Lepisosteus oculatus: one gene and its partner. The protein of the gene in region 1 interacts with the protein of each later gene in a biochemical or structural test. Links are inferred from orthologs where the notes say so. Each region holds a gene or a part of one and is shown in the gene's direction. Other genes may lie near its edges.

What was found.
Region 2: the proteins of ets2 (region 1) and zmynd11 form a complex in vitro, tested with the Homo sapiens proteins (2 studies listed by BioGRID). The link is inferred for Lepisosteus oculatus from reciprocal best matches to the Homo sapiens genes ETS2 and ZMYND11.

Annotation. Positions count from the first base shown.
Region 1 is NC_090700.1:6,569,358-6,586,205, reverse strand, and holds the start of ets2 (protein C-ets-2), read left to right. Parts: upstream 1-9,460; 5' UTR 9,461-9,730; intron 9,731-10,775; exon of another isoform or gene 10,776-10,798; intron 10,799-11,498; 5' UTR 11,499-11,504; coding exon 11,505-11,567; intron 11,568-14,857; coding exon 14,858-14,978; intron 14,979-16,073; coding exon 16,074-16,193; intron 16,194-16,596; coding exon 16,597-16,797; intron 16,798-16,848. UniProt on the Homo sapiens protein: Transcription factor activating transcription. Binds specifically the DNA GGAA/T core motif (Ets-binding site or EBS) in gene promoters and stimulates transcription.
Region 2 is NC_090701.1:13,106,121-13,123,610, forward strand, and holds the start of zmynd11 (zinc finger MYND domain-containing protein 11), read left to right. Parts: upstream 1-9,598; 5' UTR 9,599-9,773; intron 9,774-17,490. UniProt on the Homo sapiens protein: Chromatin reader that specifically recognizes and binds histone H3.3 trimethylated at 'Lys-36' (H3.3K36me3) and regulates RNA polymerase II elongation. Does not bind other histone H3 subtypes (H3.1 or H3.2).

The DNA of each region.
Region 1 (16,848 bases):
GATTGTGAGAGGATCCAATGTGTTTTCTTTTTGAAGGTGTAGGACCATAAAGTATATCATGAGCACAGAAGCTCTAGAAACAAATGACAACAGTGAGTCACATGGGATCTCACCAGTTTAGCTCCAGCAGAATCCAAGCTGAAATCATGCTACTGGGGTTATTTATATAATTGGAGGTCCCTGCCCAAGTAGCTGATTGGGTGACTGTCTGTGCAAAGAAATGTACTATACTAATGTTGACCAATCAGTCTGACAAGTAAGCCTGGGAAAACTGCAAACCAGTTACTTGTCTGTCTAGGGCAGGCTTGGGCTCCGGCTAGCAGGTAAAGCTCATATCCCTTCTGAGAAACTGGACACAGTTAATTTAGGCTGAGCCCTCACGAGCTAGGAATTCCTAACAATCAGCGTTAACGTGTCTTCCATCATAGTCGTATTTGTTCTGCTTCACATCAAGTTCCCTTTGCCCCAAGGTTAAAACTGAATTTTATTTGAAGAGGAGTGGGATTCATTAGTCTCAAAGATGTTGATAAGAAGAGTGATGTTTAACTCTTCACAACTGACATATTGCATAGTTGGATGGTAAAGAACCGCCATCTCCTTTTCTGAAATTAGTTAATTCATCTGCAATCCTTAAATGTTCCTGATAGAATGGATTGCTGTTCAATAACCTATGATAGATTAAGTATAGTTAAATACACAAAAATGAATGTTGACAGCGGCTACATACATAAATAAAAACAGAGGTATATTCTGTAGAAATTTCAATTTGAATTCAATGCAGGCCCTTGGAGCATGATGAAAAGATTCAGCTGATATTGAAAAGTTCACATCAAGTATCAAGCATGCATGCATTATTAAAATAGTCCATAGTGCATTTGTTTATTCAAGCAAAGTAATCAGAACCAGATTTTCTTGGAGAAGGGTTCTTTGCATGACCTGCTGCAGAGCCTGAAGTTGTCTGTCTGTCCCAGACGACACGTGTTCTGTAAAAAAAAGTCTTGAGTGAGGCTGGTCTTCGGTCTGGCTTGCAGAAAAGGCCTGTCCCTCATCTTTATGAGAAAGAGGTACAAAAACCTCTGAGCTGTTGGCGTTTTGTGTAAAGAGTCTGTTTTCAGCTACGAAGGGAAAAAAAGCAACGTAGAGTCTAGACAGAAGAGATTGGATTCAAATCTGGAAGCCATTCACTCCAAGCTGGAGCACATGGCCTGCCTAACTGCAGTGAAGGATCACATTTCATTGACTAATTACACATGAAAAATGGTCACATCATTTTTCACTTTTTTTCTGCAGTAAAACTCTGAGGTGGGGGCGGCTGGCTTACTTAAGTAAGTGTTGTACACAGAACACAATTTTTGAGTACCTAACAGTTCTCTTCCTGTTGATTTTTAAAAAAATGCTAAATGCTATGGCCTCCTGCCATTATTTACAATAATACTCATATTTATAATACTCGTATTTAAACCCAAGCAGATTATTATAAATCATAGTTTATGTTAAAAGCAGTGCTTCTTGGACAAAAATATTTTTAAGAGCAACAGGAGATATTGTATCCAATTTACGGCAATTTGTTTACATCACCATCTGTGCTCAAAACGCTCAGATGTTGTTAAAATGTTTTAACTCCGTTAATAATCTTTTTAAGCTTTTTCTAACCGAAAAAGGAAAGTCTGAAGCAAAGATAAAAAGAAAAGAGTTGTGTGTCATGGGACTTTTTGCTATGAAAATTGGCACTTTGGAAATCAACAATATTTGAAAGGTGTGTCACAGCGGTTATGCCGTTATTACCGGCATTTTCATTTTCAAAATTGGACTGCACTCAATTAAATGTCATTTTTATGGCAGTCTGGGTTGATAAACTCAGTTGTATTTGAAACACAAACACACAGACTCCAATTGTATTTCTTCTCATTCTGTGTTCTAACCACAGCGTTTCAGAGTTTAATATGTTTTAGACGTGTTTATTAACGCAGTTAGGCACAACCACCCACACACACTAGTTTGTTTTGGCTTAGCTCTCTGTCTTGTCTAGAACAGACTACCTACTGCACTGTTCTGAAGCGTAAACATAAGAAAAATCCTTTAAAATAAAAGTTCAACATTTGTTTTAAAATAGTGCCGCATTTCATATGCATATACTTTATTAATCTATACTCTGTACCCCCTTTGTATTGTTTTGATACAATTGCTTTACGTAAACTTACTGAAACGCACACCGCATACTTCACCAGCAGAGGGACCTAAAGCCACGCGATTTAAAAACAAGGGGAAACGTTTCTCGCGGTTTCGTGACAGGCCGAGCTATCAAAATCAGCAGTCGTTAGCAACGACCGCAGAAGAACAGGCAACTTTTTTTGTGTGTGACAGCAAGGCGCAGAATTTATAACACTGGTTTTAATTAGTAACGAGACACCGAATGCCCACCTAGAGCGTGTACAAATCCAGCTTTATACTTAAATAATCCATTGTATTTATAAAGCGTTTTTGAGGAGCGCTTTGCATGACCGACTCCATCAGTGAAGAACGGGTGCCATGCGTCAGCCAATATCCTCAAGCAGCCTAACGGCACAAAACATATATCTATTCGGGATGAGAAGTGACAAATCTGAAGCAAGGGGCAATCTGAGGCCGTCAGATTGTGCCCAGAGTGTCAATTTTAATGACTAATTACTAAGTACTAGTAGTAGTAATAATAATGTTTTTATATAAAGCCTTTCTGGACACTGCACTCAAACTGCTTTACTGGTAATGGGGAATCCCACTACAACCACTAATGTGCAGCAAAGTGCGCCAATAAACTCAACCAGTTCATAGATTATTAGGAGGCCATGATTGGTAAAGGCCAGAGGGTAATTTGGTCAGGACACCGGGGTAGCACCCTTATTTTTTTTCAAGAAACTCGCTGTGATTTTTAATTACCACAGAGAGTCAGAACCTTGGGTTTATGTCCGATCCGAAAGACTGCGTCTTTTTTCCAGTACTGTGTTCCCATCACTCTACTGGGGCCTGTAGGACCCACACAGACTGCAAGGTGAGAGCTTCTTACTGGTCCCACTAACACCTCTTCCAGCAGCAACCTTCGAAGGTGTCCTATCCAGGTACTGGCCAGGGTCACGCCTGCTGAGCTTCAGTGCGCTGTCAGGTGTGAGTGGCATGAGTAGCCTTAGATTCAGGTCTCATCATAACACACAGTCCAGCTTCAGGTAGCAGGGATGCTGTCTGTGGAGTCCCTGATGTCCAAGCCCTCTCCTAGGTGCTCTGGTCCAAACTGTTTCCTCCAGTTTCATTACCTCTGTTTGCTCCTGAGTTCTCATGACTGGGGTTTTTGTCTTGAGTCTGTGTCGAGCTAACAGTGGGCTGTGTGGAGATGGCCATTGTGTATCCACACCCTGTTTTAGAGATCCCCCACTCAGTCTGAGGTCCAGTTAGACTTTAGACTCCAATCCCTCCACTCTGAATGGTGTGATAATTAATGGGTGTCTGCACAAGGACCACTTTTGATCAACGGGAAGCTCACAAGGAAAGACAAAGACAAAATGACACCGGCCATTCATTACAAACCTATGAGTCATCATAGACCCTGACACCCGTTGACCCAAACCCATTTTTTGCCATTCTGTGACAAATTTTGCATTTTCTGACGAGATTGCAATGCCAATTAAACCTTGAAAGCAATAAGTCGCTTTTTTCAGTTTGATAGTTACTAGTTTAGAGTTAAGTTGTTGTTCATTAATTTGTCTGCTTAAGTGAAGGTTTATAGCCTTTAAGTGAAAAGATGAATTTGCCAAAAAGCTGTCTGAGTATACAGTATCCATAATTTGAAACCCTGAATCACCATCCTGAATATTTCAACACTTAAAAATCACAAAGACTATTAATGTTTTTCATTAGTCGGTCGGCTTTTTCCCCCCACTTCCAGTAAACTTAATCTTTTTGGTTTTCCCAACATTCTCTTGGGACAACTTTTTTTCTGCCTTTTTGTGGAAGAGGTGAGTGTAGATTTCACAACACAAGCATAACAAATTGCTTGAAGTGCATTTTCCCTGCCAGTTCTGTTTTCGGCGTCTCAACCAGTGTTTTCATAAAGCATCTCTCTGTCGACATGAATTTCATGGGCTGCGCTGAAGAAAAACAAAACATTTCATTTCACCTGCATTTAGAAATGAAGGCGGTCAAGGACTTTCACACAGCCTCTGGTTCTCCTAAGTAAGCAATGTTGTTTATGTGTTATCGTAAAAATCATTCCTAGGGAGTTTAATGTCCTGATTTTGAGTGATGGCCAAACTGGAGTCAGCATGCTACAGTGAACCTTACCAGACGATGTCTAATTTATATAGAAATGCCGTGAAGTGTTATGCTCCACTTTCTTCAAAAGTCTTCTTCCGCTAAAGCCTTATTACCTATTCCAAACCTTCTCTTTTTTAAAAAAAAGGTGTTTTTAAAAAAGCATTGCCTGATGTTATAGATACCCTCTTTTACATGCACATAACAATATTTCTTCAATGTTATATACACATTGGTATGGTCAGACATCACTTGGTGTTCCCCATTCAGTTAAAGCCCAGGTTTATCCATGTATCCTGTCTTAATCCATTCAACCTGGATTTCCTTGGAGGTCTCTAAGCCAAGGACTGACCAGGCCCAGCCATTCTTGGTTTGTGAGATCAGCCTAAAACATAGCAAGATGAAAGTGATTTGTGAATGTTAATTTGTCTTTCAGCTATCTGATTCGTTTATTGATTTAACTCTGGGTTTATCAATCATTTTTGGTAGAAACCTCAAGGTTTTCAATATAACATCTTTCATAGTGCTAAAGAAATGTACTTGTTTTGAAACAAACATTTCATAGAAGAAAGTATATAATGATGTGTATATATAGTGTCAAGATGGTGTACTGTACATACTAATGTTAAAAGTCATATTAAAGCATGATGGCTTTTTGAGTTTTGTACAGATCAGACAAGGAAACAAATGAAATTTACCAATCATTATCAACAACATTATCATAACCAGCAAATCTGAGATTTACCAATCATTTGTGTTTTTAATTCTTAGGTTAGTGTTGTTTTATAGTGCCTCTGAACCATCTGCTGGCTTATATGGAAAAGCAATCATGCAGTCAAAACACAGGGGAACTTAAAGTATGCTAACCCACTCTATTTTTTGCAGCTGGTATTTATCTGTTTAAAATATCACCCAGGTAAATGCAAGTGGTAATGTGCAAAGTGGCACTTACAGTTTACAGACATCAATCAGATTTTCTAAAGTTTTTTTGTTTTAGAGTGCTCTGGCATGGTACTGTAGTTGAACCCTGTACAACACAACACTGATGTCATGTTATGGCTCGATTATAGTCTGGGTAATTTATTGATATCTGCTTTTAAAGAAGAAAGTTTTGCACCAGCATGAAAGGTTTCAAAGAGGTGTAGTTTTACTGTCCTTTACTGAAAAAAGGTATGAATTGTTCACTCTGTTGTTTTCTAATTTACAGCGGATCATTTCTATGTGCACAGTGCCATCTTTTTAAGAAATGCTCCATTTGCTTTATTTAGAATTTAAACTAAAGAACACAATTATCTGTGATTCATTTGAGGATATAGAGAATACAAAGACTTGATATTTTCCCAACATAATTCATGCATTGCAATTAAAAATCCTTGGCGCTAAGCTGTTTATAAAGGCCTTCATAGCACTCAGATCAGTGTGGATGTTGAATTGACATGCTTTTATCTTTAAATACAGATTTTTCAAGTGCTGTTTCACAAATAATGTGCTGACTACTTCTGAGGAGCGTTACTGATGCTGTTGTCAAATGGTTTAGTTTTTTGCAAAGCTAATATGCAGAGTGTAGTTAGTTTTTTGGTATCAGATTAGAGACTGTACTACTAGTCCAGTCAGATCTGGATACTTAATGTAATGCTTAAAGGTTGTTTTTTTTCAATTAGGCCATTAAATCTGTCTTGGTAATTCAGTTACTAAATCTGCAGTGAAGAGCCCACTGGAATAGGTTGTATTCTATAGTAGTGTGAAAGTGTGGACAACTCCACCTAAAATCCTGTTATCTATACGAAGGGCAATCAAAAACTGAGATCTGAAATCTTGTACACACCCTTCAAAGAGCAAGTGCTGAAAAAGTACTAGTTCAATATGTTTCATTCACAGTGGGTCATGCAGATTATGAAATGTGAAAGAAACAGAAATAGTCACGGACTGGCCAAAGCATGTTCAGAATATTGCTGTGATTGTGTGCTCCGAGGTGTCTATTTTTAACACTCCAGCTGCTTTCATGTATTATTTACTGTATTGTCCTTCTGAAACTATTGCACTGTCTTGTCACCGTCTAGCTAACAGAGACACAGCAGCTAAAGACATTGTACTGATTGATGTATTCATCTGAAGCCCCTGACTGCATGATCCTGTACACCAAGGCCTCACAACAAAGGCACAGGGAAAGCCAGATGTAGGGGTTGCTAGGCGATGGCTTATTTAGTGGTAAACAAAATCCATCTGCAGGTTCACACAGCTTTCCTTGCGTTCACCAGGACTAAAGCCGGGAATCTTAGGCACATTTATTTGTCACACAGTTTGTAGTAGCTATGGATGTGACTACATCAGATGATCAGTTATTCTTGAATTATTAATCCAGAGCGCAGAAAACTGTGGTTCATGGCATTAGGTTTTATAAGAGTGAAATGCCTTTTTGGCAGCTGTTACTACCATTTTAATAAACATCCTGGTAATACACTTATAAAATCATTATTTTTATGGTTATGACAGTGGTTGGATCCCAAGGGAACCTGAATATGAAAGGAGCTATTCAGTTATAGGCTGGATTACTTGAATTGAATTGAATTGAAAGAATGACCAAAAAAATGTTAATGAAATATTCAAATAGTGATCAATAAACCAATATTAACATTTTTTCACTGGATAACTTTGAGTCTTCAGCAAGTCAAAGCACAGCTGAAATTAACACGGGAAAACAAATAATAAAAAAATACATTTTTACTTTAATGTTTAATGAGAGCATTTGACACATTTGCAATTAAGATTTTGCTCAATAGGAAGTACCAAAAACTTATACTGAAGAACAGCTCTTTAACTGAAAAGAAATGGGTGTTGATGCTGTGCACCTCACTGCTGTATGATGAAAACCAGTGCACACCTCACCAATATGGGTAACCTTTTTGTACTAGAAAACCAATTGATTCTAAAAGGCTGAAGCAACAAAGCAGGATAAGCAACGCTGGTACTTGAATGCTGAGATCCTGTAGGTTTTAGGGGCATTCTTCAATCAGCACCTGGAAAACACTGATTGTACTTATTATCCACTTAACTGGCTCCATTACGTTGCTAATGGAGGAGACAGAATCAAACCCAGAAACAAGTGCAATAAAAGGTCATGCTGGAGTAAGTTGTGCCCTAATGTCATACTGTCACCAGTTTGAACGGGAACTCTAATGACAGGCACTGCCGAGCTTAAAACCTATAGATCACGTGCATGAATGGACATCTTGCACTTGTGTGAATGGGCTGGTTAGGAGAAGAAAAAGAGTGTAGATTTCCCCCATTGATTTCCCCCACTCTTACCACAACAATCATCTAGTCACACTAAAATAATAGTTTCTCAAGACCACTGGATGTCAGCCTGGACTAAATTACGTTTTTTTTAAAAGCGATGAGTTAAACAGAGGTCAGCCTGTGTGGAAAAAGCTGAAACAGCTCAAAATCAATCAATAAAACTATTTAGATTCTTTTGTTATTTCCATTGTTTTACTTTAGTAATGAGCTCTGTTACAGTGGGAGATACTGTAGCTCTAATGTGCCAGCATGCCGTTAGTCAATGAAGCAGCACAATCTGTAAGAGCAGGCTTCAGCAACACGGGTGGGCACCTTGTGCCACACTCCCACAGCCCTGCTGTGATTTTCACAGTAATTCCCGTTTAGATGTTATCAATGTCATTAAGCCTTCTGACAAGAATGCCGTGTTGTACCGCAGCACTTATTGATGCGCAAGAACTGTTGACTGACTGGTCATGATGTGCTTCTCTGTGAGACAAGCCTAAGAATGGGTGATGTGTTTTGAAAAGTATATTCTTGGCATGTGCAGTACTATAGCAATTGCTGCGTTTTATGTAGCAGAGATGAAATCTTTTGTATCAGGTTTTATACTGTACAGCTTCCATCGGTACAGAGTTACTTCATGGCTAGGAAGGGTTTTACGGTGTTTTCTTTGACCAAGACTTGTGATACAAAATCCCCAGCAAATGAAGTGTCTAGGATAAATGCAATTACCACCTTCAGTGGTGTGCCAAAATCAGACTGCAATTTCTTTCAAGAACAACTTAAATTGTCTATAATTACATATATAATTACAGTTTAGCACTGACTGGAAAGGCTTGTAAAATCTCAGATGTGGCATTCCCATTTTGCTATTTTTCACAATCAGAATCCCGTTAGTACACCTTGTCAATAAAAATGATTCACATTCTATCAGATATTTTAATGCTCGTGGTCTTATCTCATACCAAGGCTTGCAAACCGAACACAAGTGATCATGTTGTGCACACAGTGCACAATTTATGAAATTCAAGGGCAAACAAATTGATTTCAAGCAACTTTTTAGCGAATCCATCGGGAACAGGGTTTTGAAGGTTACTGATACATTTCCAATTGATCTCTTCTAGAATATAATGAACAGGCTTTTGAAACGAACAAGCTGCCCCGTGCATTCAGGGACATTTTATGTATGCAATAACACAAGCAATGTGCCCTCCCCACTTGCGACATAGAACTCAAACACACCCGAAGAAGGCTCCACAGCCGAAACGTGGTGTTTCTTTCCTTCTCTTTTCAGCAGGGAATAAACTTTTACGTGTTCCTTTGAATTCTAACATAGACGTGTACTGTATGTGTTTGTACCATACATAACGTATATCGTCAGCAGTGCCTGCGCACTTTCTATCATATATTTACAGACATGGCGCTCATTCGCAGCTGTAACATGTGCGGTGCATTAAGAAACTAGAGCAGGCATTTGCCTCGGTGCGAGTGTTACAAAGTACGGCAGAGGTTTGAGTCCATATTGCAAAGTAAAAAGATGGAAAAGCACGTGTAGGCTGTGGAGTCCTTTTCACGCGTTTGTGGAAACGTTGTATTTTTTTTCTCTTTATTTCTTTTTACTTTTCAGCGTGGAATTAACCTCTACGTATACAGTACGTACAGGAAGAAGCCACACTAAAGAAAACGTGCGGAGTTTCAGTACCAAATATCGCTTCCAGCTACGGTTGTAGTATAATCATAAGCTATTTCATGCCTGGTGTGTTACAATTCTCGGCGGCACAGCTGTAGTACTAGTACTGTACTAGTCTGGGTAGATGAAACACCTACTCTGAGTGAATGGCAGATCAGTGTTTACTGTTTGCTCCTCCCCGGAGCGACTGGTCTCCAGTCTATGAAAGGAGCAAAGTGATCTGCACTTCCTCATTAATTAGAGCCGCACGGAGCCGGATCATTCACATCCACCGAAGACAGCAGGTTAAAACTGCAGCCGCCTTTTCAAGCATCTACTACAGATCGAAGATCAACGTCAATCGGTTGTCTGTTTTGAGGAATTTAGTCCACCAGGACGTCGCTGGAATACGATCGACCTATTGTGGATATACATATTTCCAGCTTTTCAGAAGAATAGATTTATTATTATCTCTCTCTCACTGTAGAACGTCTTCAACAGGTAAGCAGTGTGCGGTGTTGCTTGTGCATAGCTCCTAATTTGGGCTAAGAAAATCACCTGAGTAAAGGTGAATTTAATGATCGAATTTAAATTGACACGTAATTATCGAATACGATACGCGTTATACAAGGAAAGAGATATTTGAAGCTTGTGAACAATTACAGATTATTTTTTTGTCTTTCTCTTGAAGCAATCTAACATAGTTATTTACATTTGGGTGCGGTATTATATTATATTAGTTATTAACCTGTATTGTTGTAAGAATGAGAATTTCTGAAAGTCGTTCTGTGATTTTTCATTTGTTATTTGAACAACACAATTTTCCTTAACCGATTAAAAGCCACCGGCGTTTTAGGTTGGATCTTCGGTTTTTTTTTTGTTGCATTATCACGTAAACTTTTTGACTTGCCGCAAAAAAAAAATCACTTGTGCTTGAATTATTTCGACAATGCAGTAGTGTACGTCCGGCTTATTTTTTCCGATATCAGTTAAATCAAATACGATGCTCTCCTGCCTGTACATTTCGGTGATCGAGGTTTAAGTCACTAACAAAAAATGTTACGTTTTTATCATTTCCATCTTACGTGCGTTTCCTGTTGTGCGTTTGAACGATTTTCTAATGGATCAAACTTGCGGTGCAACACTGAATTGGATTTAATAAATGAACGAGGTAATTGTCAGTAATACACGTTAGGCTCGCTGTTCAGTTGTACCCAGGGTGCCACCTACTCTGTGACGAGCGAGCGTGAGTCATTTCTGGTATCTGTTAAACTTGTGACCAATGAGGAAATCATGCGCTTTTCTGTGTAAGAATTGTATAGATTAGGTAATAACAGAAACGCCACATTATATATATGGGAAACATCATTAAAGATTCCTACTGTGAAGTAAAACATACATGAGTAATCGTCCGAGAACTGCTGTCTGGGTTCTTTGCTCTTAATTCTGGTTTAAATTATCTTTCCTTAATTGCATTGTTTCTAAACACAAGAACCACAGACAGGACTCCCAGATTTCCTCTGCAGCTCCACTCGTGGCTTTGATGTGGGAACTGAATCAGTTTGTTTGGTCGGTGTCACATGCAAAGCGGAATTTGAAAGCGTGAAAAAAGAAAGTAACGTGACTCAACCGTTTCTCGTAAAAAAAAGAGCAAACTATACCATTCTTATTAAAGTGTAGACATTAATAAAGCATTGGTTGAAATAAAGTGTTATATAGCGCCTCATATCTTTGTCTACTTGTTGAAATAAACTTTATCATTACTCGTCTGTTTAAGTTGTATGCTCTCTGGATGAGCTTAAATGTTAAATACAGTACATCTTAAATATTATCTGCAAGGTCGTGTATCCCTGTCTTATTCGCTTAGCGCCCCGGGATAATTGTTTAATATGTAAAATTAGTTTATTATTATTATTATTATTATTATTATTATTATTATTATTATTATTATTATTATTATTATTATCATTGCTCTTGTCGAATATATGGCGGTTCTTGAAGTGCCCGGTACTTCAAAATACATAGACCGTCTAGGAGTCAAATGCAATGACTGCACGGTGATGAAGGGGTCCTGTTTTGTAATTGCTTGGTCGCTGAACACTATCCTATTTGTTTTTTGTCTCTGTCACTGTGTCACTGTAACGTCTTTAAACAAACCTTCACTTATTGCTATTTGGGAAGGTTTGTTGCTCATCCTGGTGTTTCACTTATGAATGAATAATTTATAATAAAGCGCTGCACAAGTCTAACGCGTTTTCTCTTGCTTTAGATCGCGATGTGTGAGGTCGGTATGGATCAGGTGGCTCCTTTGTCTTGCGGCTACCGCGGCATTCTTAAGGTAGGAAGACGGAGAGAATAATTCACTCTTTCATAAGTGTGTTCTTCACTCATCACAATTTGAGAATCAATACTTCATGATTACTCCACTTTCAATATATCAAGGTTTATTTAAATGCCACTGCACAATGACATTAATTGCTTTGATCTCGTAAATGATGGTTGCTTTTCATGTCTTTTTGTGTCAAACGTATGAGTATCGCCTTTGACTTGTGAACTGAAATTGTTACCTTCAGTAGCAGTTGTGTGAGTTTAGAAATACAGTACCTGAACCGCTTTGAAAACGGTTTTGTGTTACAAAAGGTGCACTGCGTGGAGGAAAGAGAAAAGAGGCGGTTATAAAATCCATTACTTCCACTGAAAAATGCTGCGTCCAACTATGTACTGTAGTAATAAACGGGGTAATCTGTAGAGGAGTTTTTGTATTTAAGGTATCTAATGTATACAACTCCGAAGCTCTTCTGAAAACCTCAGTTAGTCCTCAGACAACAAAGAGACACACAAATCCAGAGACCTTGAAGTGTTTGTTGTTCAGAAAAACCTTTCACTTGCCAGTAAAGGGAGGCTGTGCTGGTCTGAACTCCTTTCAAGTCGGGGTGATGAAATGGTTCAGTGCAAACACCCAAAGTCTTTCAACCGGAAAATTGGTTTTAAACATCAGAATTATTTCTAGAAAGTGCCGGTCATGTTCAAAGAATATCTTCCTACATCTTTGTATACTCTACAAAATTGGGTCTGATGTGTACAAGCGAGTTTATAGGGTATACTTGAGGGTGTATCAATTACAGGTGATTTGTTAACTAATGTAATTCGCAGTTCATTTTGGAACAAAACCTTTAGGCCCTTGAGATCAAAGTTTCTTTAAATGTGTAGATTACTTGCATAATTGATTCATGGTGAGCTATAAAATTGAGTGGATTAGGATGACCTGTAAGAGTCTCTCTCCAGAAGCAGGGTTAGACCCCAGTCTAAGACACTGGTAAACACTTCAGGTTCTGTTGTGCTACTGTCTTGTATTCAAGTTAATTCCACCTTGAACTCGTAACTGTTTTATTTGAATAAATCATTCACTAGCTTTCTCTTTATTTACTCTTTTTTTATAACAATGCACTGCTTGTGCACTAGTGATGTGACCCAAGTGCTAGATTGGAAGAAGATGTGAAAACAGACACAATCAGAGTGTGACTAGACCCTATGAGTAATCTCACACCATACTCCTCGTACCCAGACTCCAGCCCAGCCCAGGAGCTGTCAGCCCAAAGAGAGACTGTCGAAACTCTGTAGTATGCTCTAATGCAAATACAGGCCTGCTGGCCTTTTTATCAGTTTGTTGACAAAATGAAAAACCAAAACAAATTAAAGAACATTGTCTTCACTCTGAGCGAGGCCAGAAATAACACAGACCAGGTATTGCTAACTGGTGTGTGCCAAGAAGCTTTTTTTCAGTACAGTAAGTCCTAAACATTTGTCATCCTATTGATATTAATATTTACAATGCAATTTTAATCTACAGTAATCTACAGTGGGTGTATTAAGGGTTCCTAAGGGATACACCAGGTTCCACTGCAGCTGCTGTGGAATTTTAATGTTTCAGCCATGTGCTGTAAAGATTAGCTGCATAAGGACACTAAAATTCTCATCTGAACACCTTCTAGATTAGCCATAGCATGGGCTGTTATACTCCGGTAAAGGTCAGGCTGAGCACATTTATTTTCTTAAATTGTTTCTGAGATGCGCTGTTTCCAGAAGCCTAAATTGCCCATTAAATGCAGAAGCTGGAGTAAACACGAGGAACGGAGACAGCAAGGTGTCTGATCACGGCACATTCGTTTTATTGAACTATATTTTTCTGTCACTCGCGTGGCTAAAATTCGGCAAACAAGATCAAAGTGAGGGCGTTTTTCACATTGATATTTATTTGTGTGTTTGGAACGATACCACACACACACAAATTTTTTTTTTCCAGTAAAATATATAAAAAATACAAAGATATCACCCTCAAGCGATTGCCTTTAATGATTTAATGTCGCAGATGGTGCGCACAAGCTGTCTTCACAGAGTATTACGCGCATGTGTGGAAATACAGTTAACTCCTAGTTTAAAGCTTGAGGCTTCTGGTTGTATTACTTGTTATCAGAAACAAAACAGTGAAATATCCAAAGACGTCAGTGGCAGGCCTGTGTTTGAACTGAAAAGGTCAGTATTGGCCCAGCAAGCCAAGCTTTTGTGTGTTTATCAGTAAGGTGTGGGAGTATTAATGATGGCTAATGTGGCTAAGCACTCTCATTAAGAAACTGGGGGTGAAAGCAGGTGTTAGAGGTGAGATTTTGCCCAAGTACTGTTCTTGGCAGCAGACAGCAGGTTGGGCCAATCGGTGTTTGCTGACAGAAGGCTGTCAGAGAGAAAGTAAGCTGGGAAGGATAAAAGATGATAAAATCAGTCAACCTCTGTTGTAAACTTTATGACTGGTTTAACAAAAAAGAAAAGAGGCACTTCAGATTTGTCTTAAGTCAGGGCATGACCTGCTTTTATATGTCTAGATAAGGCAGCAATCTACCCACCATGATCTAAGGGGAGGCAGGAATTGGTTGCAGTTTTGGGTTGAAACAGCGCACTCCCACGCAGCAAATCATATACAGTTAGGATCTGCAGCCGGCAGCCACAAGATGAATTATCACCTCTCTCAGATAATAAAGTTAAGGCCCCCCCCCCCCCCCTTCAGGCTGCAGTTCATCTCAGAGAGTGGAATGTTTTCAGTGGCAGAGGACAAGGTAGAGAAAAGGTGTGGACTCTGTACAGTGCTGTCTGCTAAGGCCTATTGACTGTCCTTCAGCTGCACTGCCCCGTTGAATGGGTTTCAATTCCACTCTTGAAAATATCAGTTTGTTTCTCTTCATAGCTTGCTTAGTGGAATTTCAAACTCGCGATTGTAAAAGTTGTAGACTCTCTGATTTCTGACCATTCAGTTTCGTGTTTTGAGATATAAACACTTTTTGTGCCAGTACAGAGTTATTTGCTCTGGCAGCTGGATGAGTATGGTGAGCCACATTTTAAATGTCTTCTTACCGATATCCTTTCATTGACTTTCAATGTACCAGATAATTGACCATAAGACTATAAAAATAAACCTACTCTATAGATAGAACCTGTTTTTTTGTTTTAATTTTTAAATGAAAGCAACCAAAACTAATTTTAGAGCAGGCAAGGAACAGTTATTAGCACCTTTTAGCTAAAAACAACAATGCAGAGGTTGTCATTTAAGAGCTCTTTTTATCTCCTATTTTTCCTCAGCGTCAGACTGCATTTGATGTCCTAGAAGACCCCATGTCCTTATTTGCGGGATGCTATCTTGCTTCAGATGATGAACAGTCAGTCCAGGAGGTGCCTTCAGGCCTTGACTCCATTTCACTTGGTAAGATACATCACAGACCTCCGGAAGACTTGATCCTGTCCTCCAAGATAATAGAATGATACTTTTGGCCTGACCTCAGCAATGAAAAACTGAAAATTCAAGAGGAAATTGTGCATAAATCTTCACTTCTTGGGATAGTTATAGAGTAAATTTAGGAGTTAATGCAAAAAAGGTGAATGAATGTCCTTCTCGGAAGTTACTTTTGGATCTAGATTGAGAGAGGTTGAGCTGATGGAGAAAAAAAATAAACCAAGACCTTGGATATTCAGAAAACAAGGATCACTTGCACTGTTTTGTTGATGACCAAGTTAAAAATTGTTTTTTCAAAACGTTGTTCCCAAGCAAGGTGGAACCAGTCTGAAATTGCAAAAGTCTAATGTGTTAGCCTCATTTAGCACAAAGGCCCCTTGTAGGCAAATGTTGTCATTAAACTCCAGTGTAATGTACAGTATGTGTCAGTATTAGCGTCTTAGTGTTCAATGAGAATTATGAAACATAGTTACAACATCAGAGACCAGAATGATGTAAATGATGTTACTTAATAAAAAGGGGAAGTTTTTTGAAAGAGTCGTCAGGGATAGTTGTTAACAATCACACGCACACCATCACCACGGTTTGACAACCTCAGCAACTGTGCAGCGAAGATCAAAGCCAGAACTGGCCCACAGGAATCTCCCTGTGCAACTGTGGCTTTTCCATTCTTTCAAGCCATCAGCATCCAGCTGCTTCTCTTGCCCTCTAAACATCTGGTCAGAAGTGCACAGCTCGGATCTCTTTGAGTGCAGTACTCTCAGCAGCTTCCCCACTGGAATCTGGAACTTGGTTTTGTTATATTCCTCACGCAGAGAACATGTTCAGAGACGAAAAGGATCCCTAAAACATCAGAGATTCTATGCTAGTAATTAAACTCATAAGCCAAGCCAGTTGTGCAGAGATAAATCTGTGCTACACGTCAGTCTGTCATTAACTAGCATAGTGAAAGGCCCATGTGGCCGGCAAGATCCATCTTCTCCTGCACTGAAGAAAGTAAACACCAGGAAGCCCTTTTCACTGGCCTTCAGTAATCAATATGCCTGTTTCTTTTGCGTCTCCTAGATCTGGGCTCGTGCACTGTCCCTCTGCTGACGCCCTGCAGCAAAGCGGTCATGAGCCAGGCTTTGAAGGCCAGTTTCAGTGGGTTTGCCAAGGAGCAGCTGCGCTGTGGTATCCCCAACGGTGAGTCTCCATCAAGATGTCTTCTCATCTTCTCACAGCGGACACCCCCAAAGCCTTGGCTTTGAATCGTATATAAAACTGCCCTCTGCCATTGCCCTTCATGGCTGTCGTTCAGAAAGATTGCCCCTTACTCCTGTAGCCTCAGTCCTTATTATTGCCTTGCTAAAGGTGCATAGGGAATATTAGGTTGTTTGTCAGCATTAAGTGTTTTCTGAGGCTATTTATTGGTTTATTAGGCTATTGTACTGTGCAGTATATAAAGTAACTGTGTCACAAGATCCCTGAAGACATTCAAATCAACACTGAGCCTTTTATGGACCTACTGGAAGGCAGGTGTTTGGCACAGCTATCTGAGGAGTAATCGGGCTGTGGCGGGGTGCTGATTAGTCTCTCTCCATGGCAGACCCACGTGTGTGGAGCAAGAAGCAAGTTATTCAGTGGCTTCGATGGTCAGCGAGCGAGTTCAGTCTGGCCGGCGTCAATTTCTCCAGCTTCAACATGACCGGGCAGGAGCTCTGTGATCTGGGCAAGGAGCGTTTCTTGGAGCTAGCTCCCGACTTTGTTGGGGACATCCTCTGGGAGCACCTGGAGCAGATGATGAAAGGTAAAGGGGGAATTAGGTTTCCATGCATTTGCTGCAAATACTGTATTCAAT
Region 2 (17,490 bases), on another chromosome or scaffold:
AAGACAGGGCAGTCAGCAAAGATAATATAGCATGGGAAAACAAAAGCCAGGTGAGAGGAGGAGGCGGGAGAGGGGAGAGGCAGAGTGGACAATCAAGTGGTGGGAGGCCGGGAGAGATGAGGCGAGGTGTGAAATGAAACCTACTAATGAATAGAGAGAATTAGTTTCTGATGTCTTTCTGCTATTGGAGTTAAGAAACCCCACTTTGAGAACGCAGACGGAGAGATCGGTGTGATCATTACCTGGCTTTTGTTTTCCCATGCTACAGTATATTATCTTTGCTGACTGCCCTATCTTTCTTACACCCGAAGAAGGCTCCACTGCTGAAACATTGTTTTCTTTCTTCTCTGTTTAGCAGGGAATAAACCTATTACTCATTCCCAACAGATTTATTATTCTTTAATAAGTGTAAACTCATTTGAAATTGAGGTTGCCAATACTTAGCATGCCGTCCAAAGCTTCTGAAAAAGAAAATAAAGGTTAAAGTTTGTCCTCATTATAACTGAAAACAAATAATCAAACTTCACAAAAGAAAAAATATTAAATAAAAATGTATATTGTTCCTAAAATGCGTGGTTAGATTAATATTTGTATTCACATATTAGTCTATCATTTGAGTTTTTAAAACTACCTGTTCAGAATAGTTTTATATTATTTAATGGTTGATAATATAAACGTTTTAGAAACAAACTGTGCTAAGAAAACATTACATTGTCTCATCCTTGTTCCCAAGCCTTCTTTTTCCATGTCTAAGTTGTCCCAGAATGCTTCAATTGGACAACAAACTGGAATCTTTGGAGAGTATAGCATTAACTTTAAATCCCCATCTTATTCTTTTTGGCTAAGAAATTCTTTAATAATAAGGCAGCATGCTTTAGGTTGATGCCATGTTGAAGCCTCAGTATACTAATCCCTGTCCAGATGGTTCAGCATGCTGTTTGTGAATTTACTTCAACCTTTATTTATTTAATTTATTTTCCCTTAAGCTTTTTTAAAAATTTTCCAATAATTGTTATGCAAACCTTAAACATGTATAGACCAAAACCATTGTTTCTCTTCCACAGGAAAAATGTGAAACCTTCTTTTCTATGGCAGATGCATCAGTATTCGCTAATGCTGAAAATCACAGATTTAGACTTCATCTCTGTCTGCTTTGTTTTATATATATTCTTACATTTATACTGTGCTTTTCTGGACACTCCGCTCAAAGTGCTTTAGAGGTAATGAGAACTTACCTCCACCATCGTCAATTTGCAGCACACGTCTGCATGATGTGATGGCAGCCATAGTGCGCCAGTACACTCACCACACATCAGCTATCAGTGGGGAGGAGTATAGAGCAATGAAGCCAATTCATACTGTAAATGGGGATTATTAGTAGGCCATGTTTGGTAAAGGCCAGGGGGAAATACCCGTACTCTTTTCGAGAAATTCCCTGGTGTTTTTAATGTCAGGACATCCTTTGTACATCTCATCTGAAGGTTTGCACCTTCGAGTTGATGATATAGCTGTTGATAAAAGATACTGTATAAGACGAGCCTCTGAGGATTTTGCAGACTCGTGTAGAATAAAAAAACATTAAAACGATGCATTTTCTAATAAATCAATACAGTCAGCAGGCAATCAAACTGCACTTCAATAGGTCCCTCCTGTGCCATGACATTACTTTTGTATATGTTATATACACAAAGGATGAGCACCTCCTACTGATCCCACTAACACCTCTGAGCAACGTTAGCTTCCTGGGAGGTCTCCCATCCAGGTTGTGGCCAGGCTCACACCTGCTGAGCTTCAGTGGGTTGCCAGTTGTAAGTTGCTTGAAAGGGTATGTCACACTTCAAATGCTTACCTGAAGGTCTCTGACAGGTACATTGTTTCTGCAGCAGCTTGACCATGTAGATTTGTTACTTTCAGTCTACATTGAACAGGTACTGTACAGTACGTGGATGCTGCAATCAGCCCTGTTTAATTTTCCTTCTAATGTCCATGTACAATGACTGTCAGGCAGTGGTCTGAAGAATTGGTTTTACTGTCTTCAAATTTTATATCATTGTTGCTCCACTTTCTTTATAGTGCTTCAGGGTGTTCCAGTCATGCTTAGTCAATAAAAACATAAAAAAGGCTGCAAACAAGAGGGAGCTGGGCAGACCACCTTTTAGTAGTTTAGTAGTTGAGTGAAACGAACATTTTGTTCAGTCGTTTCTTGAAGGTGCCCAGAGTTTGGGCAAAGGATTCTGTTGCCAATACCCCTGACTCTTTGAGTAAAAAAGTTCTTTTTAGTCTCCAGTTCATTTAACTTTTCATTTGTGACCACAGGTCAGTGCATTGAATTATTGGGAAGCCATTTTTATACTATATTTTATTGCTTGAAGAGTTAATAAGAATAATTTCTCTTTTCTTTAGTTTTAGCAACCTAATATGAAATTAGATAGTTTCTAGTTAGCTCCTACTGTATTTCTTATTAAACTATATTTGTGACTTTGTACTGTCACTATTGTTCAATTGTTTTATTCCAGTCTATTATAATTCTTATAAAAGTAGGTTATTATTTGTAATTGATGTTTATGTACACTGTATGTTTTTTTAAGCTTAATTTGCATTGTTACACTATTTTAAACTACATTTTATTTTTTATAGATTTGAAGTGAATTTGTTGTACAATTGATTTATAGGCACAAATAATTATTCTTTATCATATACCGTGCCTTGCAAAAGTATTCAGCCCTTGAATAGTTTTGGCGATTTCTTGCTTTGAAGCTTAAATGTAATATCTGTTAAAGGTATATACACAAGTTACTCCACACATTTAAAGTGAAACACAAAAAGTGAAGGAAATAGTTTAGCAAGAACAGAAAAAAATGTGTGGAATAACAGTGGTTCACTTGATTTCATCATAAACACACTTGTCTCTGTAAGGTCCCTCAATCAGTACATTTCAAGCAAACATTCAACTATTAAGACCAAAAGGCACAGATCATTAGAAGGGCATGAAAACATTTCCAAGAACAACTCTGAGTGTAGTGAAGTCAATCTTTGAAGTGGCAGGTACTCAGAAACTGCCTCATTTAGGCTGTCATTCCAAACTGCCAAGCAGCCAGGCAAGGAGGAAACTGGTTTAGATTTAGACTTAAGGGTCAAATCAGTGGTTGAGACAAAATGTTCAACAGTCGTCCAAAAAAGGGACTTGTATGGAATGGAAAAAAACGACATTTCAAATCCAGAATGGGGTTAGCAACAAAGCACATACTATTGATAGTGATATTGGAAAACTGTGGCAAAAGACAAAATTGGTCTAAATGCAACATTTTGGTCTAAGTGTTATATCTAATGCAGACCCATCATAGTGCTTCACTCAGTCAACTCCATCCCTGCTGTCGAACATGGTGGTGGCGGCCTTATGTTATAGTTCTGCTACACATCAGCAGAGACAAAGTACTGGCAAATCATAGAAGACAGCTTGCACCAGACTTTAAACTGGGCAAAAGTTCAGCTTTCAGCTGGACAATGATCCAAAGCATAAGGCCAAACCAACACTGGAGTGGCATAAGAGTAAGAAATTGAAAGTCCTCGAGTGGCCTAGTCAAAGCCCAGGGAAGACTTGAAAACTACTGTCAACAAGCAATTGGCAACGTGAGAGAGCTTGAGCAAATCTGCAAAGAAAAATTGAAAATTGCATCAGGTTAGTGTGTAAAGTTGTTAGTAATTTATCCAAAAAGACTTGCCAGTAATAGCTGTCTATAACAAGGAATAACAAATGTTGAGCTCAAGGGTCTGAATACTTATGTTTATTGTAACTTATCTTATCTTTAGTGACTCTTCAGTTTATGCATTCAGGTTTTGAATAAAATGAAGTTCAATAAAATGTGAATAAAGTTTCACAAAATGGAACACCAAAGGAAGGGTCTGAATAGCTTTGCCAGGCATGGTACAGTAATTTTACATACACAATAAAGGGATGAAATTGTAAACACAAATTTCAGTGGCCTAGCTAAATTCCACTTTGACTTAACTCAACCTAAATTCCCTAAATTTCAGCTTTAATTTACTGGCAAAGTGCCGAAACTTGTCACCTGATCTGATAGGGAGCTACTGGCTCAGAATGGAAGCTGGTGGTTAAAGTGGGTCCCTTATTACATGTAAATCATTCTGACATTTTTGGGGTGTTATTACAATTTTTATTGATGATGCTAAGATCATTGATATCTTAGTTTCCTGCTATATACTGGTACACATATTGTAGAGACATCTGTCGACTCCCGTGAACCAGAAGATAGAGACTGTCCAGTTGCTAAGCACACTGGAGCTGTGACTGAGGGATTATGGGAAGGCTGACTATGGCACAACAACTGACTGTACATTTATGCAACACAGCTATAGCTGTTTGCCAGCCTGGCTTTATTATCTGCTCTCTATGCATGCCTTCTGTGTGTGTTTGTACATGCCTTGTTATGGGTAACTCTGAATATTGTATTCTTACACTGAGTTCAAGTACTGTAGATATTGTGGCTGCGTCAGCATGCGTAGGCTGCAAAGGAACAAGTAAAGGTTTATACTGTACCATAGTGAAAAAAGAAGAAAAGAAACACGTTCCGGCTGTGGAGCCTTTTGAAGAACATGTGGACACACCTGAAGAAGGCTCCACAGATGAAATGTTGTGTTTCTTTTCTTTTCAGCGTGGAATAAACCTTTACTTGTTCCTTTTTACACTGAGTGCTTGTTAAAAAGCATAATTGGAGTCTGCTTTTATGCGCTAGTATTTTTGCGCTCAGTTATTATTCCAACTCATGCACTGTGATCTGTTCCAAGGCACCATTCTTTAATGAAATCCAGAAGTGAATCCCATTGGACATCTAGGCATCAGGCATGAGGCATCAGGGCAATGTGACATTCCTAATAATGAATGTATGAACTTTTATCCTTGTATAGCCATGATGTTCTCAGAGAACATCAGTGACATTTAATTTTTAAATGAAATGTGAATTAAAGTGCTCATATACAGTTGAGAAACAACAACGGTACAGTGTCAAGGATTTCTGTCAGGTGATTTCTTTTGCTGGAAAGCTTATATTGCTTGATCTGCCACAATTTTTACAGGTTGTTCATCTGCAAATGGAAGTTGTATATGCAAATGGTAGGTCAACTCAAGTCTAAACAGACTGCAAAAAATATACTGTAGTTTCTGAGAATCAGATTCTTTTTTTAAAATGATTCAAACTGCACACTGATTTCTTGATGCATCTTGTTATGTCCCAGTGTGTGTTCTGTGTGTGTTTTTTTCTATGTTCCACACTGCTGACCCTTGATTGTTCTCCCTTCCCCATTGGCCCACCATTACACCACACTTTCAGTATGACATCATCATCAATTAACTCTCAGCCAATCAGAACACATCTTATTCAGTATATAACCTGGAGGTTTTCAGTAAGGAGAGGCCTTTTGTTTGACTTTGGTCCTGTTTGGTTTTGGTTATTGCTTTGCTTCGCTCCTGGTTATTGCTTCGGCTTCGTTTGTTGGTTTGTTTTGCTTTGTGTTTGTGTATTTCTGTATAGCTTCGGCTTTGTTGTTTTGTTGGATTTACGTTAGTTTCTTTGTACTTTTGTTTGTTTGTGTGTTCATCCTTGTTTTGTCATTACCTTGCCCCAGTGTTACATGTTCAACTTTTGTGTTCTTTTTGTACCCTGCTCCTATTTATTACTCTTGTTTTCCCTTATTTGTCTTCCTGGTTCACTTGTGTTTTTCTGTGAACTTCTGTATATAAGGTTAGTTTAGGTTGTTGGGTACACTTACACACTTAGTTGATTTTGTATTAGTACACTAGTTTAGTACGGGTGAGTGCCGTTTGTCTTGTATGGTTTTGGGTAGTCAGTGCAGGTTAGCTAGGGTGTTGAAGACGCCGAAGACCGTGTGTTTCGGGTTTTCTTTTGTAGTCAGATTAGCTTTCCCTCACTGTCCTAGCCAGCTCCATTTTTGTTTATTTTCTTTCCTTTGGCACCACTCTAGTTCCTTACCCTTATCACGCTTCCTAGTCCCTCACCAAAACCCACCTGCTTCCAAAAGAATTATCCTAAATGTCACACCCCTTTTCCCCTAGACACTTGGGGTCGTAACACATCTAATTACCTGATTAAGAAAGAGCATGACAAAGACCACAGATGTAAAAAGGCCATTCAGTCTATCTTACTCAATAAGAAAAAGTCAATATCAGCTTCAGTCTACATCCATGTGCTGGTATAAATAGCTACCATTTCAGTTGACCATTTCAAAAAACACATAAAAAAGGACTCTTCTTAATCAGCCAATAGTGAATGATACCTTCACAAATAGGGCAATTCAAAGTATTGCTGTGGTAATTGTTGAATTTTAATATGAATCTGTGAAGAAGAAATGTGAGAAAAAAATAATGTTTTCATTTCATAATATCTAAGTATGAACAGTATTTCTGAATCTCCATTGTTCAACTGCAACTACCACAAACCTACTGTATTCTACTCTTCCATTCTTAGTAAATTGATTTGGTTACGTTTTTCTTCATTCCCTACCACATGTGCTAATGGGATGTTTTAATCAGGTGATTAGATTGGCCCTCAAGATTGTAAAATTAAAAAAAAAAAGATTTCCTTCCATACAGTTAGTTAGGTCAATTTTATTTTTGAATTTGTTATTCATAAGATCAGAGGCTCTTGCCACTTAAAGAAACTTTTTCTCCAATACCTTTTGATACATTAACAGATTCAAATGTCTTTTCTTAGCACAAGATTTGGAAAAGGGGAGATTTATTAGTATACTGTTTAGGAAAGCCTCACCCATACCTGCAAAGGTTATGAGGGGACCTGACACAGGTATTCAAAATTGTCAAAATCAGTCACAAGGTTAGAATGAACAGTTAAACATGAACCACAGTGCACAAATGGAAACTATGTGGAATTGCATTGAGAACTGAGAACAAGAGGCACTTCAAGTGTTGTGTGAGTACAAAACAAGCTACCAAGCAATGCTGTTGAAGTCAGTTTCCAGACTTCTCTCAAGAAACAATTGAAAGGGAAAACTGGGTTTATTTTTTTGGAATTATTTTTTTATATATATAGCACAGAGAACAGAGCTGTTTACAAATGCTGAAATGTCAGCATTTGGGTTAGCAATTGCTGCATCTGAGTGTAGCGATATCATTTCCTGGATAGTTTTTTTTAGGCAAATAATGGTAAGACATTGTTGCTTGGTCGTCAGTTGGTATGACATCAAGGTGACTTGATTGTTCAATTGTTTGGATTATAAAGGTAGGAGATTTGAGTGCAAAATCTGCTAGTACTATATGTGAAGGAACTATCGGTTTTAAAAACTCAAGGATTTAGGCTTTCCAATGAATGGTGCTCATTTAGAGTAATTTATAGTGATAAAAGCAATGACGCTTGATTAAAATCACTCAGAAATAATGCAGAACACAGTCAAATGTTCATAATGGAGATTTTAAAATTAATCTTTGAATGGTTACATGTTTGCTAGTCAACCTAGAGTATATGGCTCAGACTATTCAAAGCCTGCGTACTACATTTGTAAATGAGTCAAAAAATACTGCTCAATACTTCACCTCTTGTAAAATCTGAGTTTTCATGACATCATCACAAAACAGAACATTTGTTAATTGCAATACTTGTGGCAAATCAGTACCATACAACATATCTGATAGAGCTGTGACCAACACTTCTTTTAAATATGATCAGATCTATGTTACCCATTATTATTCTGAAGAATAATATATATATTACACTGTAGGCTGCATACAGTATATATCACAGATTTCCTTGGATCTGTTTGTTTTGTGCGTGTGTGAGGGAATTTAATTTAATTTAATGAAAATTATTTTATATAGTGTAGTTTGTTTGAAAGCAAATCATAATTGTTTACAATACATAAAAAGAACATGTCAGAATAAAAATACAATAAAATCATTATACACTTAGCTGTTCAGGTATTTAGTGAACACAACACACTGATCTTGACTTTGTCAAATAACACAGGCTCAAACCCTGGACAAAAACCCATAGCTCTCACACTGTATAAGGATGTTGGATGTATGATTCCATGACTTTTAAAACTCAGCTGGCACCTCTAAATATTAAACCTAACAGTGATTCAATCTGGTTATAGATGGGTGAGCTCAAATAAATTCTGGACAAGCTCCTGCATTCAATTCATTTCTTACCCTAGTGAAATCAGATTATCTGTGCAGACACACACAGTAAATCAAAAGACCTTTTTCCTCTTGTGCAAGATGTGTCCTTTATAAGTATCGGGCACAGTAAAGGACATGGAGCTGTAAGGACATTTTTATCTTGTGTCTGCTAGTTGAGCATTGTTATGAGATGCAAATCTTGTAATATATCCTGAGATAGGAGTTTAAAAAAATGAGGAATTTAAAAACCCAAGATTGCCACATAACATAAATGAATAGTTTTAATATCCATTTTTAAAATTACCTTTAATTACATAATTTATGCAATTATTTATAGTATAGTACTGTTTATTGTACTTGTTATTTGAAATATTTTTTGCTGACTTTAACATGCACAAAAAGCTTTATTCACAGATTTTACAATCAAACTACAGAGTCTTCTCTCGACAACTCACCCACTCTTAACATAGACCAATGTTAATTGCTTCATGGAATAAGATGGCCGCTATCAACAGTCAAAGACCTGCTTCTACTAACTTTCAGAATTTCCTTTCCAGGGAAAGGCACAGTTAGTCATCTTTCAGCGCTGGGGCCCTGGGTTCAATTCTAGAAGTGGGGTGCTATCTGTATGGAGTTTGTATGTTCTCCCTGCGTTCACATGGGTTTCCTCCAGATGCTCCGATCTCTTCCCACAGTCTGCAGACAAGCTGGGCGGTTAATTGAGTCTTGAGAAAACGGGGCCTGGGGTGAGTGTGTGCAGGCTTGTGTCTGTGTCTGCCCTGCAATTGACTGGAGTGCCATCCATGTTGTGCCCTGCCTCATGCCCTTTGCTTGCTGAAACAGATTCCAGCTCCCCCATAACTGTATTGGATAAAGCGATTAGAAAATGGATGAATGGAAGAGTGCTGGTCCACCAAGATCACTTTAGTAGCAATTTTCATTTTCATTACACGTACTGTATATCCATCCATATGCTAAACAGGCCCAGTCTTGCTTTTATATATTACTAGATATGACAAGATCAGGCTTCAAGACACCAGAATTACTAGAACTGTTTATACAGTAAAGATATGGTTATTGTTACAGTAACTGATAAAATTAGGTACTTTCTCATGCAAAATTCCCTTGGTCATCAGTCAGGTCGGTAGAGTGTTAGAGAGTAGTTCTAGTGGTTATAAAGTAGTAACAATATGGTGACATTTTCAACGTTACATTGTGGATTGAACCCAGATATAATTATTGTGTTTGCGAAACATTTAAACGCATAAACTGCTGTAGAGATTTTTGTCTCAGTGTCCTTAAAAAAGTAATTTATTACAGATGCAATTTGTAATAAAAGTAACAGTTCATGTTCCTGAAAAAAAAAATACAACAGACAACTAAAGCCGCAATTCTTTATTCAGCCACTAGAGTTCTCCTACTCTTAAATCAGCCCTGCTTGCGTTTATGTGTTTACCTCTCCGAAGCCTGAACTGTGGATAGACATAAAACATAAATTCAGACATAAGAAAACTATTCCGGAAATACAAATGTAACATTCCTATCGCATCCTGCACGGGTTTCTACAGAGGCGCGCATTATTTTTAAGAACATCCTAAAGAAGGTAGGTTTAATTTAATGCTTTAAAATTTACGAGTTGAAAAATAAAACATTAGGAGATGTTTCTTTTTATGTGATGGAGGATTATTAACATGGCGCCTCTGAACTAGTGTTGAAAATATCTACGAATGAGGCTTTTTAAAAAACAAACTACCCATGCTAGATGGTTAATTGCAAAATGTGCAACTCACCGGAATCGCATAAAATAATATTAAGCGCCTATTTGCGTTGTGCAGGGTTTTATATTAATTGAAGATTTTGTTATTATTAGTTAGAACAGAACTCCTTAACTTAACCCACCCAGTCGTTATTGTTGTAGTTTTGCGTTTGTGCATAGACTGCAATCTTTGATTTAAGAGCGCAGTTCGTGCGTCTTTAAGCATTTCTAATGGAGGGTAGTCGAAATTGTGGTATTGCAACAAATGGTGAAGTGGCCTGGGTGTAGAGTAAAATCCACGGACATTCCTAAACACTTAATCCGGGAATCAGATGAGCTCTCAAGTAGAAGGGCAGCACAGCCCCTGGCGTTGTTAACTGGACGACCATCATGTCTTAGAAAATAATATAATTAAGAGCGATGGAAATCAATCAGATGGTTACTGCTGCAAATGGACATTATTCTTTACATATCATAGAATCACAAAGGGCTAGGCGTCTGCGATGAATTACCCGCTTTAATGGCATGGTAGCATAAAAGCCGAAGAAGTCTAGTAATTCATTGATTTAATGTTATCTCCTCTGTTTTGTATTATACATGCGACAATTTGTAACACTCCCTGTGCCGAAAGGTGCTGCAGTAACAAATGGGCAGTTACTTTTCTCCCCATTAGGATATTTAAATGAAAGACCATTGGTTTAAAATACTGAGGAATATGGCGGTTATTTAATTAATTTATTTTTGCCGAAAGGTGAAACCAGAAGTTGTAACTGGGATATCCACGTTTACTGCCATATCACGCGAGCTAGACGATTGATATTTTTGTTACTGGGGGATGGTTGTAATAGGTTTCTAAAAGATGTTCGAATTCTGCACTTATTTTTATAGAAAATAAGTATTTTTGAAGCCTCCTTGGACGTTTGTGATCCATGGTTTGATTTGCTCCGAATATATGGAAATTCGTCTGAAAGTATTTGATGAATGTGGATTCCAGCTAAAAATATTCACTATTCAAATTTACATGTTAGAATATTTTTTTCCTTTGGAAGATATGAGCGATGACGGAACAATAATAATTTTTTTATTAAGTGGCTTCGTTTATTCAGAGCAGCTCAACGGGGTTACAGTAAGAATATGGTTAATTGCAAATGCAGTTATAAATTAAAGTAAGGTTATTTACAGTGTAGAGCTACCTTATGTTCTTTATATTGAAAGAACTATATTAAATTTGGAATTATATTTGTAAATTGTAGGCATTGATTCTCAAGTAACATTTTGCTTATTGGTTGCGACCTGGTTTATAGGATCCCAAGCAATATTGTCAATATTGCCAAGAGCCAGAGAAAGGTGATAACCAGTGTAATGTGTAACGGTATTTTATTATTTGAATCACAAAAAACTCAGGTGCAGAAATCTTCAAATTACCTGTTATTCGAATTTAAAACATGTTGCATTTCTTTGAAACTCCTAATAATATCACCAGCTGTAAATTGTCATGTGTGAATTGGAGAGAAACTGTGACAGTTATGTAGTCTAATAACAGATGTTACTAGCAATCATTTCCAACCATTTGTAGAATTTTCTCTCAAGAGGTAAGCAGTACAGCAGTACAGTCATCACAACCATAGGTCTAATTCTGGAATAACCATAGCACTGCAAATACCCTGATGTGGTTAAATTAGCACTTAAAAAAACATTGCTGCCATGTTAAAAGACTTACCTGGTCAATTTGCAGCTCATAACTAACATTTTTGAAGATTTTATGTTTGATAGTTTGATTTATTGGATTGTTTTATTGGAAACTTTATTATTCACTGCGTATTAAATCACCCAATTCCAAGGAAGAATGTAAGTTGGAGGAATATAGTGGTGGTTGAGAGGGTCTATTCAGTATCACAGACTTAGGATAGCAGGGACAAAACGAGTCATGCTGTCACACTCTTTACTGAAGGATCTGGTCTATAGCAAAAGCACAGAGATCCGCTGAAGGAAAGTCACATTTTCTGCTATCCACTGCTCTGTGTCCAGATTCCCAGCCTCTCAAGGAAACAAGTAACACTCCTGTCATGTTGTAGTTATACTCGTTTCACCTTTTGCAAATCCTTATCTAAAAGCTCTTACTAGAACTGAACTGAAGAGGCAAAAAAGTAATAGATTTTAATATTTATTAAAATCCGTCTCTTACACTTTTCCTCTACCAGTTAAAAAGTATTACGCATGAAATCTCTGGGATAGCCTTTTATGAGAGTGTCATGAAACCTGAAGTGGGTCAGACTCCTGAACAGTGGGAAACTTAGGCCTATCTGTTTTCCCTCCACAGGGAGATGAATGTACTTCATCAACCTGATCCCACTTGCCCATTCACAGCTAACAAGTCTTAGGTTGCAGGGTTCATACTGGATTGTTAGAAGCACCTAGGCAGTTGCAGTGTAAGAAGTTCATTATTTTCAGCCTATTTAGGGAAACAAGTAAGAGGCTTTCAAAGAAGTATACAGTAGGTCCTGTACATTTGAGGCTTGTGAACTTAATTTCATTATACATGGAGTAAAGAGTGAAGTTAAAAATTATGCACAGCAGAAGTACTTTTCTTCTTCATCTGTAGTATCTGAAAGTGCTTATCACTGTTAAAATCTAAAATGGATCAACTGGCAAATAGCAGTATAATCATTTTCCTTTTATAATACTCTTGACGTGATTAGAATATTAAAATCACTCATACAATTTCGTTGGAGCCAGTAAGTCCCTTCATTTAGATACAGATTTCATGGATACTGTGTGCAAAGTCTCATTTGTATAAGGAATGAGTGTATATTGTCTGTTTCAAATGTTTAACCCTTTTGGAGTAAAGACGGTGAATATTACATGGGTAAGAGATGGCATGCTTGAACAAGGCAATTTGTAGAACACACATGCGGATTTTAGTAGCAGTGAATTGTGCAAAAAATGCTTAAAATGATATAGTACTATTGGAGAGTATAAATGGTACTCATGAACACTCATGTGTACACTATAAATGGTACTCATGTACACTGTGAACATTTTAACTCTAGATTAAGTTAATAGTAAAGCTAAGATGTTTATGTACCTAGTTTGTAGTTTTTGTGGTAAATTATCCCATAATGTATAGATTCCTTCAGATATTCCCCACACTAATAAAGGTAGCCTGTCATACCCCTGTAGATGCAGTGAGAAGTCAAGGGTTCTTGTATGGCATATTATTTTTACTTGTTGAAAAAAAATGCTTTTCATAGCCTTAAATTAGAAAAAAACAGTTTTCATAGCCACAAAAGTTTTTAGAGATTGGTCATCCCCAGGAAGTGTATTTTTTTACTTGTTTGTGTTTTTCACAAGAAGGTTGTGAACTTTGGCCAATAATGATTGCTGTAGATTATGCACACAGTTGTGGGTTTCTGTGTGAAAACCTTATCAAATCATTTCTATGTCCTCATGTTAAATTTTAATTGCATTGTAGGCTGCTGAACTAACTTGCTTTTCTTCAGAATGTTTTTGTTTTTTCAGTTGGTTGAAAAGTAAATTTTGACACACAGAATTGTTTTTCATGTCCAGGATCTTGTTTCACAAATTAATTTCTAGATCCTCAAGCAATGAACTGTACAGTTCCATGAAGATTAGTGTTGTGGGATGGTATTGAATACATTTATAGTATTCATTTCTCACAAACTTCCCTGTATTTTTTTAAATATTTGTACAGGTACAAATAAAGGTAAAACAACTTTTAAAACTTGGAATAGATCAAAATGGCATGATTATTTTCTTCCAAGCTAATGGCAGAACATTATCATTTATATCTACACTGAAATATAAGGAATTAAGACTGTATAAAATGACTGGATGTGAATATTATATTGCTCAATAATATACTGTAAATACGCATTTCATCAACATTCAGCTGTCTTCTCTTGGACTGTTCAGTGTAGTAACTTCATGCACTATAATCCAATGCTTTTAGCTGTGTGCTGCTTGTCACACAAATGGAGGATGATTCCTTAAGTACTGTAGGGTGCTTAATGTGTTTTCTGAAATGCTCAGAATTTCAACAGATCTTTTCTGCTAAGCTCACAGCTTCCAATTTGTGATAGTCACTTTGACAGTAAATCTAAAATGTTTGCAAAATGTACCGCTGCTGTCAGATAGAGGGTGAGAAATATTGGCAGGGTATTAGAAGCAGAAAAAGACATTATAATGTAGTTTCTGGCTTGCACTGTGTCATCAGATTAACCAGCCACATAGTTTTATCATTTTCACTTCACTCCAAAGTAAGGTTGTCTTCTTTAAAAGCATCTGCTGTCTTTAAAATGTTTAAATGAAGTTTGCATAGTAAGCTTGTGGTGCAAACATTGAAAACATTTTGCTAAACCACCCTGGAAGGAAAAGAGGGGGGAAAAATCTATTTTTAAAGATCTAACTTTCTCATTGGTGAAGCAAAGAACTCCAATTGCTGTCATGCTCTTGCAAAATGGCAGCACTTATAGATTGCAGTTTAGATTGTGGGCAGTATGATCAAGACAGTAGGCCTAAAAAAAGGGCAGTAAATACACAACAGATCTTTGTGCAGGAAACACTTTACTTGTTGCTGTTGCACTGGAGACAATCAACAGTGACGGATCAATTTCTATATTAGACTGTGGAGTGTGGACAAGTATCCTAAAAGTCCCTTATGAAAGGAATAGAAATCATTTGCAATTTCTTTCCTCCCCAAATGTTTACAGTGAGTCTGTATTCCTGATTTCTTCCCATAGGACATTCTAAACCAGAGTATCTTTACACCAGTCCTCAGGGTCTGGAATGTAGCCAGTTTATTAGGTCAGCTTAATGTGTAGCCAGCTCTGTACCTGGGAGAGGTGTTAAATTGATACAGTCAAGGTTTAACCGGATCTATTTGGCTCTTTTCCACAGCATTCATTCATCTGTTGACAATTTAAAGAAACCAACATAGAAACGCTGCTATATTCCAGATTCCGGGTTGAGAATCACTTTTCTAGACCTGCTGTATTTACCAAACATTACTATAATTTAACAGTAGAGCTGAGAGGGGAAGTGGGAAATGGGAGCACACTGCATGGGAAAAGCAGGGTTTTATGGACAATCATATGATTTAGACAAAGAGGGAGCCAGCTTTTTTATGGATCTAAACAAATGTGCTATTTTTACAACTTAAAAAAGGAGATCTGTGTGGCAACGCATTACCAATGGGAACAAAGTTCTTCATCAACTGCAGTTTCCATTTTTTCAGAAAAACGTCAGTAGCTTAGAGTATTTGTCTTAAACATGTGCACAGTGCTGTAGTTCAGCGTTGCAAGGAGGAGGCTTTAAGGACACTCTGGGAATTCCTTCCACTGCATAATCAGTTTCTAATTTAGCTTACTTACCTGGGACGTTTCTGAACCTGTGACTAGAGATTTAGCTATCAAAAGTGGTGTAATGTGTAACTGCAGACTGAAAGACTTTGAACTAGCTGCTGATGCTGCATGGGTTGATAGTCAAATACTTGCAAAGCTGTAGTACTGCAGGGGAACATCCGTCTTGTCATGTCTTTGATTAAAAGGTGGTTAATTACCATAATTCTGCTGATTATACCAGAAAACTACACTGGAAATGGTCAATATTTGACTCCCATTTGCTGCAGAAATCTTTCCTTTTTTCTCACTACATTCACTACATTAGGGTGTCTTCTTTTTGGTCTTAACTGAATCCTGAAAGACCACTTCCTGCACTGTTTTCATTTGTCTCCTCAGGTTGAATGATACATATCAAACATATCTGTAGCAAAACTAAAGTTTACCACACTTGCTCTTGTAGTGTTGAAGGCTTCTTAATGATCAGGCTCAGATTAAAGAACTTAAGAAAAGTTGTAGTTTTTAAAATAAACCCTGATAAGTGAAATTTACAAGTTTTGGTGTACAAATTGGGTATTGTGGCATTGGTGCTTTCATAGTAACTGCTTGAGCAGGGATGAGTAAGCCCTGTAAATCCTGGAAAATTTAAATCTAACTATGCAACACTTTTTATAGGCACCCTATAGTTATCCATGTTTAATATCATGGAATATATATATATATTTTTGCAATCCAATATGTACTTTGTTCAGCAAGGAATGTCGACTTCTGATTCGTGAAGACTGTAGGGTTTTGGGTTTTTCTTCCTTAACTCGCCAAATTACCAATTTCACTTATCAAAAACAGCAATTTGAAATCATTTGGGTTTGCTTTTTAGTGTAAGACATAAAGGAGCAGACACAAGAGGTGATTTTAGAGAGAAGTGGTACTTCAAAGAAGTGCTCAGAGTGTAAATGAAAATACTTACGACGCTCAAAATAGAGGCCTAATAGTTTCTTTTTTGGAGGCCTGACTACACTTTTAATTCTGAACCCCATCTGAAGAGTTGGGTAGATAAGTCACTTGCCAGCCAAAGAACCAGCATTAAGTAAAAACCTTGTAGTTTCCCTTTAAATATTCTTTGCCTTTTCTTATCTATACAAAACAAAAGTTTCTAAACTACTTAAACATTTTCATAATGTTCATTTTCAAAGCATTCTTTCAACAACCACTAGAGTGTGGTGACCACCGGTCTCTAACAGAGACCAGGATCTTTGTTTGCCATGCACTTGTATACTCAAAGGTAGTTTCTCAGTGACAACCAGATGTATCCAATTAAACTCTGGATCACAGGTCAGTTGGCAGTCCTCTATTCTCATGGACCTCTAGGAAATACGCTCTTTTATTCCTGCTTTACCTGTGAGGAAACAGCTTTGTGTGCTAGATCAGTGAGCAAGGTTAGCCCCTCTGGTACGTCCCCTCTGTAACCTTTACCCATGCTGTGTCACAATTTGTCAGTTGTTTAATGGCTCTTTCCAGGCAATCCCTAGATGTGAGGATGTGTTGTTAGCTCTTGTATATCAGGACAGCATCCTGTAAACGCGCAGATGTCTGAAAACCCAGGCGACATGTCACAGGTGGCTTTATTAAAACCATGCTCGTGCAAAGAGAGTGCAGAATCTTAACTGCTTCACTGTGCAACAGTTTATCACACCCCCCTTTTTATAAACATGTTTTCTGCTGGAGAGCTGGACCATGCAGCACATTGAGTCTGTGTTTAGCTCTGATCCCCCAAGGCATTTGAAATACAGCTGTTAGGAGATCTGTGAATTTGCTGTACTTTGAATTCTGCTTGTTTCAGATATGGCAGCTTCCATTCACAAGATACTGTACAGTACATGCTGTGGTCGTTCTTCCAATGGGCGGAAATGCACTGCTAGCAAAGTGTACACTGGAATTTGAAATTCCAGTCTATAGAGAAATATGTTTTGTGTGCTACACTCACTGTGTGCTACAATATGTCCCACATTTTTAGATTAGGCTATCATACATGTGTTTTTCAAAGACATTTTGTGTTCTGGTGGAAGGTTCTGAAGGTTTTATATAGCTGACTTGTTTTTAACTGATACTTATACATGTTTTCAGGCTGTATATGAGAAAATATCAGTGTTGCATAGAGCTTTCTTTTATGCATCTTCTGCCAATTACTTTCCATTTAGTTCCATTTC